Schizosaccharomyces pombe: one gene and its partner. Changing the gene in region 1 together with any one later gene gives a genetic interaction. Each region holds a gene or a part of one and is shown in the gene's direction. Other genes may lie near its edges.

What was found. A genetic interaction does not mean that the proteins touch.
Region 2: mutations in dsk2 (region 1) and rpn10 are lethal when combined (synthetic lethality), as found in Schizosaccharomyces pombe (one study listed by BioGRID).

The regions. Positions count from the first base shown.
Region 1 is NC_003424.3:3,367,983-3,376,062, forward strand, and holds dsk2 (UBA domain protein Dph1/Dsk2), read left to right. Parts: upstream 1-1,744; 5' UTR 1,745-1,760; coding exon 1,761-2,825; 3' UTR 2,826-3,402; downstream 3,403-8,080. Other genes in the region: nucleoporin Nsp1, read right to left, coding at 1-1,467, 1,534-1,537; rmt2 (N-methyltransferase), read right to left, coding at 3,427-4,500; SPOM_SPAC8E11.10 (sorbose reductase), read right to left, coding at 5,235-6,002; SPOM_SPAC8E11.12 (uncharacterized protein), read left to right, coding at 6,714-7,022; SPOM_SPAC8E11.08C (uncharacterized protein), read left to right, coding at 7,534-7,836. UniProt on the Schizosaccharomyces pombe protein: Protects ubiquitin chains against dissambly by deubiquitinating enzymes thereby promoting protein degradation.
Region 2 is NC_003424.3:4,554,862-4,562,395, reverse strand, and holds rpn10 (19S proteasome regulatory subunit Rpn10), read left to right. Parts: upstream 1-3,699; 5' UTR 3,700-3,759; coding exon 3,760-3,785; intron 3,786-3,827; coding exon 3,828-3,974; intron 3,975-4,031; exon of another isoform or gene 4,032-4,053; coding exon 4,054-4,377; exon of another isoform or gene 4,378-4,440; coding exon 4,441-4,675; 3' UTR 4,676-4,845; downstream 4,846-7,534. Other genes in the region: histone acetyltransferase, KAT5 family Mst1, read left to right, coding at 1-1,012; ATP-dependent RNA helicase Rpm2, read right to left, coding at 1,160-3,103; rex1 (putative ribonuclease H70), read right to left, coding at 5,102-6,973; Fe-sulfur cluster assembly ATPase Nbp35, read right to left, coding at 7,328-7,534. UniProt on the Schizosaccharomyces pombe protein: Protects ubiquitin chains against dissambly by deubiquitinating enzymes thereby promoting protein degradation.

The DNA.
Region 1 (8,080 bases):
GGCTGGAAGATACATATTCCAATCCGTCATCAATGCGGTTTGACATCTGTTCTGCTTCAACAGTTTCAGTGTATAATTTCGATATTAAAGCACCATTGTCTACTAAAGTTCTATCCCAGTCAGAAACCTGGTCACAAAGCTTATTAAAAACTTCAGTTTGCGTAGTCAAATCAGTAGACCATTTATTAAGGATTTCCTGAAGAGTTTTGTGTTTGATAGAAGATGGAGGAGGCTCAGAAGGAGTAGTGGAGGCAGTAGCGCCCGGCTTGGCGCTGGGATCGGCAGGTTTATTACCAAAAAGGGGACCGGTTTTTGAAGTAGATGTTGTAGTATCAGTTGCAGGTTTACCAAATGAAAATCCAGAGCTAGTCTGATTCGCACCTTCTGCAGGTTTCGTATTGTTCGAAAGTGGCGGAGCTGAAGTTGCTGTTGTGCTAGTATTTTCCGTAGGTTTTGAAGTGTTTCCAAAAGAAAATGTTGGCTTATTATCACCAGTTGAAGTAGCCGGTTTTGTAAAAGCTGAGTTGGGAGCAGTAGGTTTATTAGTATCCTCTGTAGTTGCAGGTTTTCCAAAACTAAATCCAGTACCAGCTGAAGATGTGGTGGTAGTACCTTTGTCCGTTGCGGTTGAAGCTGCTTGGCCCGCAGGCTTACCAAAAGAGAAACCAGTAGTTGGAGCAGAACCAGTGTTAGATGCAGCAGGCTTTGAGTCATTGGTTCCCGTAATGGAGCTACTGGGGGTGACAGTAGTGTTAGATCCTGGAGCTGAAGTAGTTGCAGGCTTTCCGAAGCTAAAGCCTGAATTAGCAGTGGTTGAAGTGGATGCATTATTAGTAGAGCCTAAACTAGCAGGTTTTCCAAAGCTAAAACCTCCGCTTCCAGTAGCAGGTGTCGTAGAAGTAGAAGAAGCTGGAGGGGCATTGCTTGTAGTCCCTGTAGCAGCAGGCTTCCCAAACAAAGAACCAGTACTAGCGGCTGCCGGAGTCGTCGTATTAGTCGTAGAAGCGGGTTTACCGAAATTAAAAGAATTATTTGAACTTCCAAAATTAAAAGTACTACCTGAAGGATTAGTAGTTGCTGCACCTGTAGCAGAAGAAGCGGTGTTTTTACTTTTATCACCAGTAGAGTTAGCAGACCCGGTACTTCCTAAACCTCCGAAAAGAGGTTTAGCCCCAGCAGTATTGTTGGTATTAGTAGACCCAAACGAAAAAGGTGAACTCGTTGATGCATTTGTTGAGTTGCCTGTAGTCGCTGCTTTACCAAAAGAAAAGGTACTGGGAGCACTGGTGTTACTCGCGTTATTAGAACCAAATAAGCCTCCAGACGGCGCTGTAGAAGAGGTATTATTATTTGTGTTTCCAAACAAGCCAGTCGCCGCAGGAGTTGCTGCTCCTTGCGCAGCTGAATTCGGCTGCGCAGGTTTCCCAAATGAAAACCCTGAATTCTGGTTATTACCTGGGTTGAAAGCTATTGATTTTGTTAGCAAATTTTAATAAATTCCAAGGGACCAGCTTTGCCGCCTCTTACACTTACACATTGATTTGGGTCTTGCTGAAAGTTGTATCAGGACAGTGAAATGTTTATGGCGTTCGGTCACAACTCGGTGAATTCGGAGACGTCGGTAACCAAAACGGAGAACTGGGTCACCATTCGGAGTTTTTGGGACCTGAAGAAAGGGTCCACTGAAGCTCACCGAAGATACTTCTTTTACATAAGAGCGTCATCGAACGAGTGGAAAATACCTAACCAAACCCAACAACATGACCAATATATCGTTGACTATTAAGGCGGCAAATGATCAAAAGTACGCAGTTACAGTTGATAGTGAATCTTCTGTACTTGCATTAAAGGAAGCCATTGCGCCTGTAGCTGATATAGAGAAGGAACGACAAAGACTGATTTACGCTGGTCGCGTTCTGAAAGATGAAGAGTCATTAAAAACATACAAAATTCAAGATGGACATAGTATACATTTGGTAAAAACCTTAGGACAAAATCCTGCAGCCGCCGCCACGAATGTATCGGACCGCACTCAACAAGTTCCAACGAATATTCAAGCAGGTCAGGGTGCTAATAATCCTCTTGCCAATTTAACTAGCGCTCGTTACGCTGGATTTAATATCCCTATGCCATCAGCATCTATGTTTGGTCCTAATCCTGAGAATCCTGTTCCACCCTCGACCGAAGAGCTTGCCAATATGTTGTCTAATCCTATGGTGCAGTCTTCTATTAATGAGATGTTTTCAAATCCTCAAATGTTGGATATGATTATTAATAGCAGCCCGCATCTTCGTAATGCACCTCCTTATGTCCGTCAAATGATGCAGTCCCCTGAGTTCCGTCGCGCGATGACTGATCCCGACACAATGCGCCAAATGGCTCAACTACATCAACAAATGGGTGCTGCCGGTATTGACCCTATGTCCTTAATGGGGGGTGGTCTAGGAGGAGCTGGCTTAGGCGGTTTAGGTGGAGCTGGTTTAGGTGGATTTGGAGGGGCTAATAATGCTACAGCTGGTATTGCAGGTGCCGCACCTGTTGATCAAACTGCTGCTGCCAACACCATTCAAAATTTATTAAATAACTTGGGAGGAGCTGGCTTCGGTGCTGGTTTGGGAGACGCCGGTTTGGGAGCTGGCCTTGGGGGAGCTGCCTCTCCTCCAGCTCCTGCTCAAGATACTCGCCCTCCAGAAGAGCGTTATGCTGAGCAATTGAGCCAGCTTAATGAAATGGGCTTTGTGGATTTCGAGCGTAACGTTCAAGCACTAAGAAGAAGTGGAGGAAACGTGCAAGGTGCTATTGAATCTTTGTTGAGTGATCTTTAATTCCTTTGTTCGTTTCTAGAATATATCAATCAGGCTTATTGGTGTTCATATATTTCAAGGATAATACCCTTTGTATCAAGACTTCCCTCTTCCCTTTTTCCTTTTGTAATAAAATTTATACGGCCCAATCTTTTGGTGATATTTAGATTATTATGCCATGCTTGCAAGTTTTGCCAGATTTACCTGAACAAGACTTTTAGTGACTTTACCTGGAAAGTCATCGTACTCTGTTTTATCGCGATGATCATATTAATCGATTTGAATGAATATGTTTAGTCGTTTAATTTAAGTACGATGACGAATTCTATATATGCTTCTCCTAGATAGAAAGCTTACTTGTTGTGTAAAAATAAGTTTTTTCTAAATTGTCAGTTTACTTACGCTTCAGTGATTTATAATGTTCAATAAACGATAGCAGTTTTAAGATACTAAAAAAAAAGAAAAATACGTCTGTTTAACATTACAACTTAATTATGCTTATGAAAGTTGAATTTCAAATAATAAAATGATATAGACAAAATTGTATTAAGATAGTTTATCCTTAGTCCCAAAAACTAAATTCCAAAGTTCCGTCCGATGACAAGCGTATAGTTCAGCAAGTTTAAAAATCAAAAGTGACAATGGGCAAGAAATACTTTGAAACATCCCAGTATCGACGCTTTGCGCCTTTCCATTCCTCGTCTTTACTACTTACGGGCATGGATTCGTATGTACATTGAAGCCCGAACGATACAAGATCGATGGGGACCAATTTTTTGTAAACATCGTAAAATGTTTGGTTGTCGGCGCCCAATCCGTTAAAAAAGGAGAACTTGGAATCTGTTTCAGGATCTAAGAGACCAACAACTGAATCAAAGAAGTTTCGAAGATCTTCGTAGCTTTCTGCGAAAGCATCATAGTAGATGCCATCGAAAACGTATTTAGACGCAATGTCGTTAATAGCGTTCTCCCAAGTTGTCTCATATACAATCACATTTTCACGATCCATCCAACCGTTTTTACGCATATGTTTCAGAACGTCCGGATGGGGCTCAATGATCACATGAAGCGAAGGCTCCTTTTCCTGAAGGAACGTATCTATTATTCCAAGACCAAAGCCGACATTCAAAACACGGCGGCCCTTGGTTGGTGCAATAATTTCAGCAGAACGATGCATTATTTTTCGTTCCCAACTCATCATAACAGCGTTTGCATCACTATCCAAAAGGCTTGAACTGTCTTCTGTAGGTTGCGTATAGGAGAGTGCACTTTGCAAGTATTTTTCGTTAGTATCCAATTGTTCGTTTGTAAGTTCCTTCCTCTCTAAGAGAGAAAGTAATAGCTCTGATCGAACTCCAGCATCCACGATTGTTTCGTACAAGCGCAATAAATTCCTACGACGTGCAATGCATCCAGGAGTTTCGTTAGCTCTATCAATACCATTCCAGACTCCACCATTAGAAAGGATCCATTTCGTTACTTCAATAGCTTGAACCTCTGTCTCCTTCTCAGCGTATGAGGCTATAAAATGTAAAGCATTTTTGCCAGACTCGATATCGATAGCTGAAGTAACTGCCCCCTGATCCACTAGATTTTGAATTTTTTTTAAATCTAGTTGTTTGGAGGCTTCCAAGAGACTTAAGGACTCTTGAGATTCTTGGAATTCCACCGATTCATTCACTAGTGGAGCGTCCATTTTAATATGAAGATGGCAGGTATTTTTTACTCGTAGCTTTAAGCTGAATGCTTTGCTGGACTTAGAAATTAAGGGATTTTTTTGTTAAACAATAAGACATTTTAGATACCGTTGTAATCATTTACATAACGAAGATGAAATAAAAATAAAAAATTCTTCTTTGTTCTATCAAGTGTTTCAAAGACATAGAATGTACTCATGAGCTATAGGATAAAGAAAACTAGCAAGGAAATGGCATTAAATAATTAAAATTATTCTACCTCGATATATTGTACAAATAACCCATCTGAAACATGCAAAAAGAATAGCATACCGTTGATTTATTTTAACTTCGGCGATGTAGTATTACTAAGGTGTGCTTATGCAAGTTAGAGAAAGAAAGAGTTAGTTTATCATACACAGTGTTTATGTTAACTATAGTGATAAAACTTTTTAGATTTGTTAGATGATAATTAAAAAGCATTAGAAACTTCAAAACGACAAATCGGGAGAGGAAGCATATAGAATAGCAGTTTGTTTTAAAAAAACCAATTCAAATTACATGCTGCCATGAGTGTAGAGATCTAAGCTCCAACAACAAAATGAGTACGGTAGAGGGGAAATGTTTTAAAAATGAAACAGATCCAGAAGAAGAACCTTTTTGACGTAGCTGTTTTGGATTATAGGCTCAAGGGAGGTTCAAAAATTCAAGTTTTTAATTATGATTATAGAGGGAAATATTAATAGTAAAGAAATTAACGAGAACAGTAACCACCGTCAACAATAATGTCACTACCTGTGCAGTAGGAACTAGCATCGGAAGCAAGGTATAAGTAAGCACCGGGAAGCTCATCAGGTAGACCAATACGGGCTTGAGGAGTATACTCCTTCCATTTCTTACGCAAGTTTTCATCAGCGTACAGAGTCAAATCTGTGTCAATGTAGCCAGGAGACACGGAGTTGACACGAGCGAAAGGGGCCCACTCAACGGCAAGAGCGCGAGCCAGATGTTTGACAGCAGCCTTGGTAGCATGATAAGAAGCCCATTGTTGAGGCCAATTGGCAATGTGACCACTCATACTAGCCGTGAAGATCAAACTGCCCTTTCCTTGCTTCTTAAAATGATGGCCAGCAGCCTGTGCAGTATAATAAGCACCGTTCAGGTTTATGCCCACGACCTTGGTCCAGATGTCTTCATTCTTATCTTCCAAGGATAAGTGGGGAATCGCAATACCAGCATTAGCAATCATTACATCCAAACGACCACCCAATTCCTCAACTGCCTGGTTGGTGGTTTCAATTACAGCACTACGGTTCTCAATGGGGCAAGAATAAGCCTTGGCTTGAACACCATGTTTGTCGCGTAATTCAGCAGCATACTCAAGAGCCTTTTTGTTACGACCGTACAAAAGACCAACATTAGATCCAGCGGCAGCGAATGCTTTAGCAATCGAAAATCCGATACCGCCTGAACCACCGGTGATGAGAGTGGTTTTACCTTTAAGAGAAAACATAGAAGTCATTATGAGATATATGAAAAAAACCGAACGATGTAATAATTATTAAGAAAAAAAAAACCCCACAAAAATATTTTAGCGAACAAAAAGTGGTAGTAAAATTTATGAACACCGGTTTAATAGCTTTTGATTAGATGAAAAGCAAAAATTTTTTTCCGAAAGATTTTTAATAGTAAGAGAAGGCACTCTTGGCAACCAGAAAGAAAAATTGCTTTGTGGCAATGGACCCAAGGCTTTTATACAAAAAATTTCCTCTTTTTGACACACAGAAAGAGCAGTCCTAAATAGTGTTGTTGGAAAAAATATATGTGTAAATAAACGATTTGCAAAGGAGGAAAAAAATAGCGCAAATAGACAAAACGGTCGTTTTACTCGAGTGACACTAGTAGATCCATCAAACCGATAATATCGGGTATTGTGATGGCTGAGTGGAAAGTTTGAATGAATAACTGCGAGAAACTAGGCTACACACATAGGAGTCAAAATAGTGTAACCCGCAAAATATAGAAATCCAATTCATAAATGTGAGAATGACAATTCATTTATTATAAATTGGAAACTCATTTCATCTTTTCTTTTTTTTTCGTGAAATACTACGAGTTTCTCTTAAATCCGGGGAGAAAGTACGGATAAAATCCCATGATTAAGAAGGGGAGCGTCGGACGACAAAGGTAGCTTAAATTAACAAATGGCCAAGTGATTTTGGCCATTTGGGGTATGATTTCGCTTCTCTCGATCAAGATGCAAGCGATTAAAGAACTGGACTCGGAAGAGGAACCAAAAGTTGGCGAGTTCTATAAGGGCAACACAATTTCGTTTTGCAAAAATTCGCTTGAAAATGATACTCAATTACCTCAAATTCTCTTCTGCATTAATCCTAAATCCATCCGAAATTTTCTTTTTCCACCCATAGCAATATCAGATCCGAAAGAAGCTCAAAATCACTGTTCGTCTTACTATTATATTAAGTACCGGTATTATATTGTACAGTCAAGATGCGGGATGATGGGAAGAATGTCTTTTTAAATATTATCTAAAAAAGGTAATAGTTACATGTTAATAACTATATATATATATTTCCAGACTATACTAGTAAAGTAACGGTTGAAAAAATGTGTAAGTAGAAGAACTATTAAACTTAATTGCGTTCAGTAGTTTCTGCATGGTTTTTAACTAAAACCATGTTCGATATTGTTAACTATTAAATATACTTATTCAAAAAAAAAGAACACCAGATTCTCCTGTCACGCATCTAGGTTTCCAGTTTTTCATCTGTTCCCTCATTAACGTTCTACCAGTTGCCCGCATTGTTCCAGAAGATCAACCCAAATCTGAACGAGATGCAATAGCCTGGAGACTACCAGAGTCTTCATTTTACCCGACCGAGATCGTTTCCATGGTCGGAATCGAACACTGGAATACTTGAGACTTGGCGAAAAATGAGTATTATACAAGGGAAGAAAAGAAGAAGAAAATAAAAGGATAATTTATGTTTTACGGCAATAAAATAATGAATTAATAAGCAAGAAGTATTAAAATGGACTTTACCACTAATGAGGTTCTGTTTAGTAGGTTAGTAGTCTGTAAAAATTTGACAAGAAAAAATTTTCCGTTTCTTCAATTGAAGGGGAGCTCCATTTTAAGATTTGAATGGTCTGAAGAAATGTATAGATTGTATATATGGTTGTTACCGTACCGAAAAGACTATAATGAAAAGTTTAAGGGAATTCTAATAAATCCTTCTATTTTTCTTCTTGGCTGTCATCATGTTCAAATATGCAGTTTTCCGAACAACCTTGTATTTTTCATGGGAAAATGCGATTTGTTTCGTTTTTGTTAGCTTTGTTTGAATACCATTTTTTAACTTATGCGATACTTTCTAAACGGAGTTCACTTTTTAAATTAATCTATATCAACTGAGCCGTTCAATTCAATCCCTTTTTTTATATCAGCTTGTAAACAAACGTTTCAGGAAATGAGAAAGTTCAAAAAGCGTTAAACAGTGAATGCTTGTATGTTGAGCTTTGACTTGTTTGCAAATGTTTAATTGTCGAAATTCATCATCTGTATCTGTCCAAAGTTGT
Region 2 (7,534 bases), 1.2 Mb from region 1:
CACCCCTTCTGGAGAAAGTGATCATGGATCAAATGCCGGGAATGAAAGTTTACCGTTATTGGAGGAAGACCACAAGCCCGAAAGTCTTTCAAAAGAACAAGAAGTAGAAAGGTTACGGTTCAGTGGCTCAATGGTTCAAAATCCTCACGAAATAGCTCGAATTCGTAATATAAACAAAATTTGCATAGGAGATCATGAAATTGAACCTTGGTACTTCTCACCGTACCCTAAAGAATTTTCGGAAGTAGATATAGTTTATATTTGCAGTTTTTGTTTCTGCTATTACGGATCTGAGCGACAATTTCAAAGACACCGCGAAAAATGTACATTGCAGCATCCACCCGGAAATGAAATATACCGTGATGACTATATATCCTTTTTTGAAATTGATGGAAGAAAGCAACGTACATGGTGTAGGAATATTTGTCTTTTGTCCAAACTTTTTCTGGATCACAAAATGCTTTACTATGATGTTGATCCCTTTTTGTTTTACTGTATGTGTCGCCGCGATGAATATGGATGTCACTTGGTAGGATATTTCTCAAAAGAAAAAGAGTCCTCCGAAAATTACAACCTTGCTTGTATCTTAACTTTACCTCAATACCAAAGACATGGTTATGGCAAGTTACTCATACAATTTTCTTATGAATTGACCAAGCGTGAGCACAAACACGGCTCACCTGAAAAACCACTTTCTGATTTGGGGTTGATTAGTTATCGAGCGTATTGGGCTGAACAAATCATCAACCTTGTGCTTGGAATGCGAACTGAAACCACTATTGACGAATTAGCCAACAAAACTTCAATGACTACTAATGATGTGCTACATACACTTCAAGCACTAAATATGCTTAAATATTACAAAGGTCAATTTATTATCTGTATTTCAGATGGAATTGAGCAACAATACGAAAGATTGAAGAACAAAAAAAGAAGAAGGATCAATGGAGATTTGTTGGCAGATTGGCAACCTCCTGTTTTTCACCCTTCCCAACTACGATTTGGATGGTAATTCTGTACAAAGAATGGATTAGATGCTGGTCGTCTTTCTTAAAAAAAAAAAAAATTCTCATAATTAAAGTATCTCCTAGATATATATTAATGATACTTAAAGTTTGAAGGAATAGAGACTAATTTGTAACCTTTTATTTCATTTTAGTTACTTTTGTAATTTCGATATTCCTTTGATTAGAAAAGCCTCTGCTATTGCCTTGGTTTTTTCGGCTGCTCCATTTTGCAGGATAGCTGGATATCGTATACTAGCCCACATGTATGCTACTATTAATTTGTGAAGCTGCTCTAGTTGTTGTAACTCGGTTTCAGTGGTTGGAATTCCGCGTTCTAATATTTCCAAAGGTACAGACTTCAAATCATATATTTGCAGACGTTTTCCTTGAGCGATAACACATCCGATTTCCCGAATAAATAGTGGTGCGTATTTAGAATGCTTTAACACTGGGCACCCTAACAATTTGATTTTATCTTTAATGGTTAAACCTTTTATGTGGTCTAAATATTCAATAATGAATGTGCTTAGTGCTCCTTCCGACACAACAAATGGAGTAGTCGTTTTCGCTAACTTAAAGTAACGATCGAAAATTAGCTTTTGAGGAATGTCATCAGAGAATAGTGATAAATATCTAAAGAATAAATCGTCCTTAGCTCCAATACAAGCATTGAATAAGTTCTTTGTAGGAAGATTCATGGCGCGATTTAATTTCGCAAAATCTTTTTGATATAGGGTAGTTACTATTCCAGCACTTTGCTTAGATCCATTGGGATTATGTCGGCCAGCTCTTCCTGCTATCTGCTTAATTTGTGGTACAGGGATGTCTATAGTGGAAACTCCACTAAACTTTTTTAAATCGCTGAAAACAATACGCTTTACGCCTAAGTTGAGACCCATACCAATGGCATCGGAGGCCAGCAAAATATTTTCATCAGAACTCTTTGAATTAAATAAGCTTGCTTGTTGATTACGGACTTCAGGAGGCAGTGAACCATAAATAACGGCAGATTTTTTTCCTAATGCTTGATCAATTTTAGACTTCAAAGTAAAAATGTTTTTCCTTGAAAAAGCCACAACACAATCCCCGTCTTTGAGTTCACTTAACTTTCCATTTAAGCTCTTTTCTGCAACGTGGAGAGGATTTAACCGTTCGTATCTGTAAACAGTAAAATCATCTTGGGTCATTTTAGCAATTGAACGCACTAATTTAACAACACTTTCTTCTCCGCATAAATGAATTTCCTTAGCCTGCAAGCCAAGCAAGCATTGAGTCCAAGCATATCCCCGTGAAGGATCAGCCATCATTTGGATTTCATCAATGACTGCAACATCAAAAGTAGTAGATAAGTTGCACATTTCTACAGTACATGAAACAACCTGAGGGAAAGGATAATCATTTCTAATCTCTTCCCCTGTGTAAAGATTACAAGCTATTCCGTTTGCTTGCAAGCGATTATAGATTTCGTGAGCCAAAAGTCTTAAAGGGCCAGCAAATATACCTTTCTTGCAAGTCTTAAGTCTTTCTAAAGCCCTATGTGTTTTCCCGCTATTCGTTGGGCCGACATGCATAATGATATGCCTTCTGAGTTTTCTCGCTCCTGGATACCACTCAATTGGATTTTTTAAATCTGTTAATTGCTTTTGTAAGTCAGGTCTTGTTTCTTCTATTCGCTCTTGATATCGTACATACTTCCGATACTCTGAGAGTAAACAATCATGGATCTTTTTTATTTTCTGAAGGTCAAAAGTAGAAGAAGATTTTGAAAGAGCCAATGATTTATCAGAGTTTTTTAAGTCAGAAAATCCTAAATCTGTAAGGATATTCTTTTTTAACTCATAATAGTATACATTCTGAAAGACACTGGCATCCTTGCAGACATTGACAAAGTCTTGGGCTAAGTATGCTTGTTTTGACGAAAGTTCTTTGGAAGCAAATAAATATGCAGTGAAGCGATTGAGGGCAGCAGCCCACAAGGTATTTCCTGGGAATTTCCTTTGTTGAAAAACATCCTTTGATAAAGTGTGAATTCTAGCAGACTTGCTAAAAAACGGTACACAAAACGTTACGCCATGAATCAAAGTTTCCAAAAACATTCCTGGCGAGTTAAAATCTTTCTAGCAATGCTCTATTGCTGGCCGCCCTGTAACCAGAGCAAAACTTAATCCAAGTATTTAAAGTAATTTAAAAACAAGAAATGTTTATATAGAAAATTAAATACTTCTCAAACGTCTGAAGGTCCCTGGCTTTATCGCTTTTAAAAATATTACCTTCTATTAATTAAAAAAGGAAAAAAAAAGTAATAATTTGACTACGAGATTCAGTCAAGTTGCCTGCTGAGGCCTCTAATATGTTATACCAACAGCTCTGCATGTATCTCCAAAAAATTAGTATCTCAGCAGTACCCTTTAAATTCCAGTTTTCCGCTTCAGTAAATATATAAAATTTTTTAAAAAGCGTTTATTACCTACACTTGTATTATAACAATTTCACGCATTTGGTGTTGGCTTTCGATTATTTACGCGTGCTGTAAGAAATTAGAGAACCTGTGGATTCGAACAGGAAATGAATTGTGTATCACCATGTTTTTCGATGTTTCATTTTGTGATGCGTTACATATCGTTATCCGAGAATGACTAGAGAAGGTGAGTAGTAATACCTTGTCTAGTTCACTTTGCAACACATCTTCTGTAATCTACCAAGCGTTCTTTCAAATTTCTTCGCATTAAGTTTTAAATTATAGGTCTTCAAGATGGTGTTAGAAGCAACGATGATTCTGTAAGAATTTATTTTTGTTAAATTATTGCTCTAACATGGCAGAATTGATAATTCAGAATGGATGATTAATGGTGATTATATACCTACGAGGTTTGAAGCTCAAAAGGATACTGTACATATGATTTTCAATCAAAAGATCAATGATAATCCGGAGAACATGTGTGGTTTAATGACAATTGGTGATAATAGGTATATGATTAATATTACGGCTTGAACGGTACTTTATGTTCAGCTATAAAATACTTTACAGAAATTCTAATCATATTAGTCCCCAAGTTCTTTCTACATTAACCAGAGATTATGGTAAATTCTTATCTGCAATGCACGACCTGCCTGTCCGAGGAAACGCAAAGTTTGGCGATGGTATACAGATTGCGCAGTTAGCCTTAAAGCATAGAGAAAACAAAATTCAACGTCAAAGAATTGTTGCATTTGTAGGTTCTCCTATTGTTGAGGACGAGAAAAATCTTATTCGTCTAGCCAAGCGTATGAAAAAGAATAATGTTGCTATTGATATCATTCACATTGGTGAGCTTCAGAATGAATCAGCTTTGCAGCATTTCATTGACGCTGCTAATTCAAGTGACAGTTGGTAAGTCTACGGATTTTTCGGACATTTTTGGCTTCTTTTTTTTACTAGTATTAACAATTTTAGTCATCTTGTCAGCATTCCACCTAGCCCGCAGTTACTTTCAGATTTGGTAAATCAATCCCCTATTGGACAAGGTGTAGTTGCTTCTCAAAACCAATTTGAGTATGGAGTCGATCCTAATCTTGACGTTGAATTGGCGTTAGCCTTGGAACTTTCAATGGCGGAGGAACGAGCACGTCAAGAAGTTGCTGCTCAAAAATCATCTGAAGAAACTGAGGATAAAAAAATGCAAGAATGATCCGAAGATGTCTACGATTCCTTATCCTTATGAAAGACAAATTAACGTTCTTGTACTTTACTAGCCATGCTTTATGCAGCAACGTTTAAATTAGATTGAATCCTAAAAATCATGATTTTTCAAAATATATCCAAAATAATAAATTGGCAGCATTTTGTTTCATTTTCGTAATTAGCATTGTAGAAAAGGTTAGCGCATTCTAGAAACACATTACTAGAAGGAAAGGTATTAATCTACAATCAAGGTAGCGTTAGTGGCATCCAATAATAAAAACGCCCCTAATATACGTGTCTGACTAGCTGTTTACCTTTCTTAATTTCAACATATACATAAACCAAAACAATTGTTTTCTTCAACTATCTATTATGACCAATAAAATGCAGACCCTTTACCCAAAATTTACTTGATCGCAATATAAAAACACACTTATTTGATCGTCATAAAAGACAATCCATTCCTTGTGTTTTCAACAGCAGATATATATTTCATATTTTCTTCATCAGTCCATTTTACTGATAGCTCATCCCATTTTTTGGTCTGGTATTCTTTTCTAAATTGTTGGCGAATAGCGTTTAATTTTGACATTTCGATGGGATTTCCAGTACCAGTATACAAAAGCAATAGAGAACCTTTTGGTAAGGAGTCGTATAAAAGACGAATTCTTCGATTAAAACGCTCTAAAGCAGAAGAATAGCTAGTTACTTGGTCCTCTTCTACCGAATCATTCTCTGTATCAGTATCAGAGTTGTTTTCTTGTTTTGTATTTCGATTAGCGTTCCACATAGCCGCATGCTCCAATTCGCGAAAACGACCCCACACGAAGTTATGCATGTCTGAAAGACTTACAACAGCGCTTACGACTTCATCATCATTCGCACAAGAAACGCTTTTATGAGCCGCTTTGCCAATGCACGACTCCGGATTACCATAGTCGGCAATTGCACCAATCAATGGAGTTGGCTGCTGTCGTGACAATCTATGAAAGATTGACTCAAAGTCTTGGTTAAACAACCCAAAGGCAGGTCCATTCTTAACTTTCAACTTTAGAAGATCCACACAAGCAAGAGCATCTTCTGCAGAATCGTGCCCCAGAGCTCCCGCTTTTTGTATCTCACGCCTCAACCACTTCGTTGCAAGCCATTTAAGCGATGGTTTTGAAGGGGGACCACGAGTGTGATTATAAATGTTTGCCGTATCAATGATATGAGGGTGTGTAAATTTTAAGCAATTAAGATCAGAATTTAGACTATGGCCTAAAAGAACGGTATTGTTGTCCACAGTCTTTTTTAAGTAAGATTGAACATCGGAAAGAACAGTAGTAACATTTCTCAGTTTTTCTTCAGTTATGCCAGAATACTGGGTAACATAATCAGTGACGGGTGATTCTGGTTTTACAAATTCGTCGTAAATAACCTCACTTTTCATGTCTACAATAGTTACTCTGGCTATTTCTAACCCGTTCTCAGTCCGCACCATTTCGCAATCAATAGCAAGAATTTTGGGATTTATAGGAGGAGAATGAAAATCTCCTGCAGAAGCAACCCATCCTGAAGGCTGAGTAACCTCTTCACCCTTCATGACAGTAGGATGTAATGGGTATTCGTCTTCAATGAAAGATTCATAACTCATTAAGTAATCAGATGGTTTGGAAAAACTAGCCATAGCACGTGTTTCTTTATCTCTTTTCTTCTTTTGTTCATTACTCAGAGGAGATTGCAAAAAGGCATTCACCGGAGAAAAGACACGAAATCGATCTCCAGGAGATCTCGTAGGCCATGCGCGATCAAACACTTCACAAAAATCAGGTAATTGAATGGGGCCATTTTCATTTAGCAAATTCGGCAGCAAAAATGAGTGCTTGTTGCCGCGCACGGGTTGAAACCCAAATTGACTAGGCTCCAATCCAGGAACTAAAAGTATCACTGCTCTATGAATCATTTGTTTATTTCTCACTAGAACCCATGAAGGAGCCTGTCCATCAGCTAAACACCAGAATACAAGCTCTTGTAGGTCGCTAATTTTTAGGGGTTTTTGAAGATTGTTTTCCGTAGTTTGCAATCTAGGGTAATTTTCTTCATTTAGCGGTTGCTGAGATTTTTTTAACTTTTTCTTTTTCTTTTTTTTACTCTGAGAGTCGTCATTAGAGTCTGGTGAATCTTTCACTCCATCATTTGAACCATCCATACTTAGGTCTTCTTTTTTTCGCTTCACTTTCCTTTTTTCTCCGTGTGAAGCAACATTCTTTGACTTTTTTTCAATGGAGTCTTCTTGGGTTATCCCATCCTGAAGTTCACCCATGCTTGAGGATCCCATCTTTGACATTTTTTATTTTGGTGGTATCACTATGGTGGTCGGCTATTCCGCGGGCAATGCATCTTCAGATCCTCGGAATACTAATGTGCTTATGTTGATTGCGAGTTTTTATTTGAATTGCAGGCTTTAGCATTGTCTTGTATTATATCCATTAACTAAGGATTTCAAATTTCTTTTTAATCCAAAAAATGTCACAATGACTACATGTTTACTTTAAGTGCTCAATGAGGATATACAAGGAATATACTCAGAAGGTTCAATAAATATTTGAATAAACGTATTTTATATTATACAAAAAAATTGAAATTAAGCAGATTCCAACCTTTTTTTATATTTTTTTCATTGCCTTTTCTGTAAACTCTCATCAATTTTGTTAATAATATCAATGATAATTTCGGAAGCAGGCGATTCAGGACATTCATCAATAAAGCTTTTTCCAAAATCACATGAACGTGCAATCAATGGGTCCAAAGGAATTTTACCCAAGAATGGTAGTCCCATTTCTTTTGCTAACGCTTCACCTCCTCCTGTAGTAATAGTGAATAT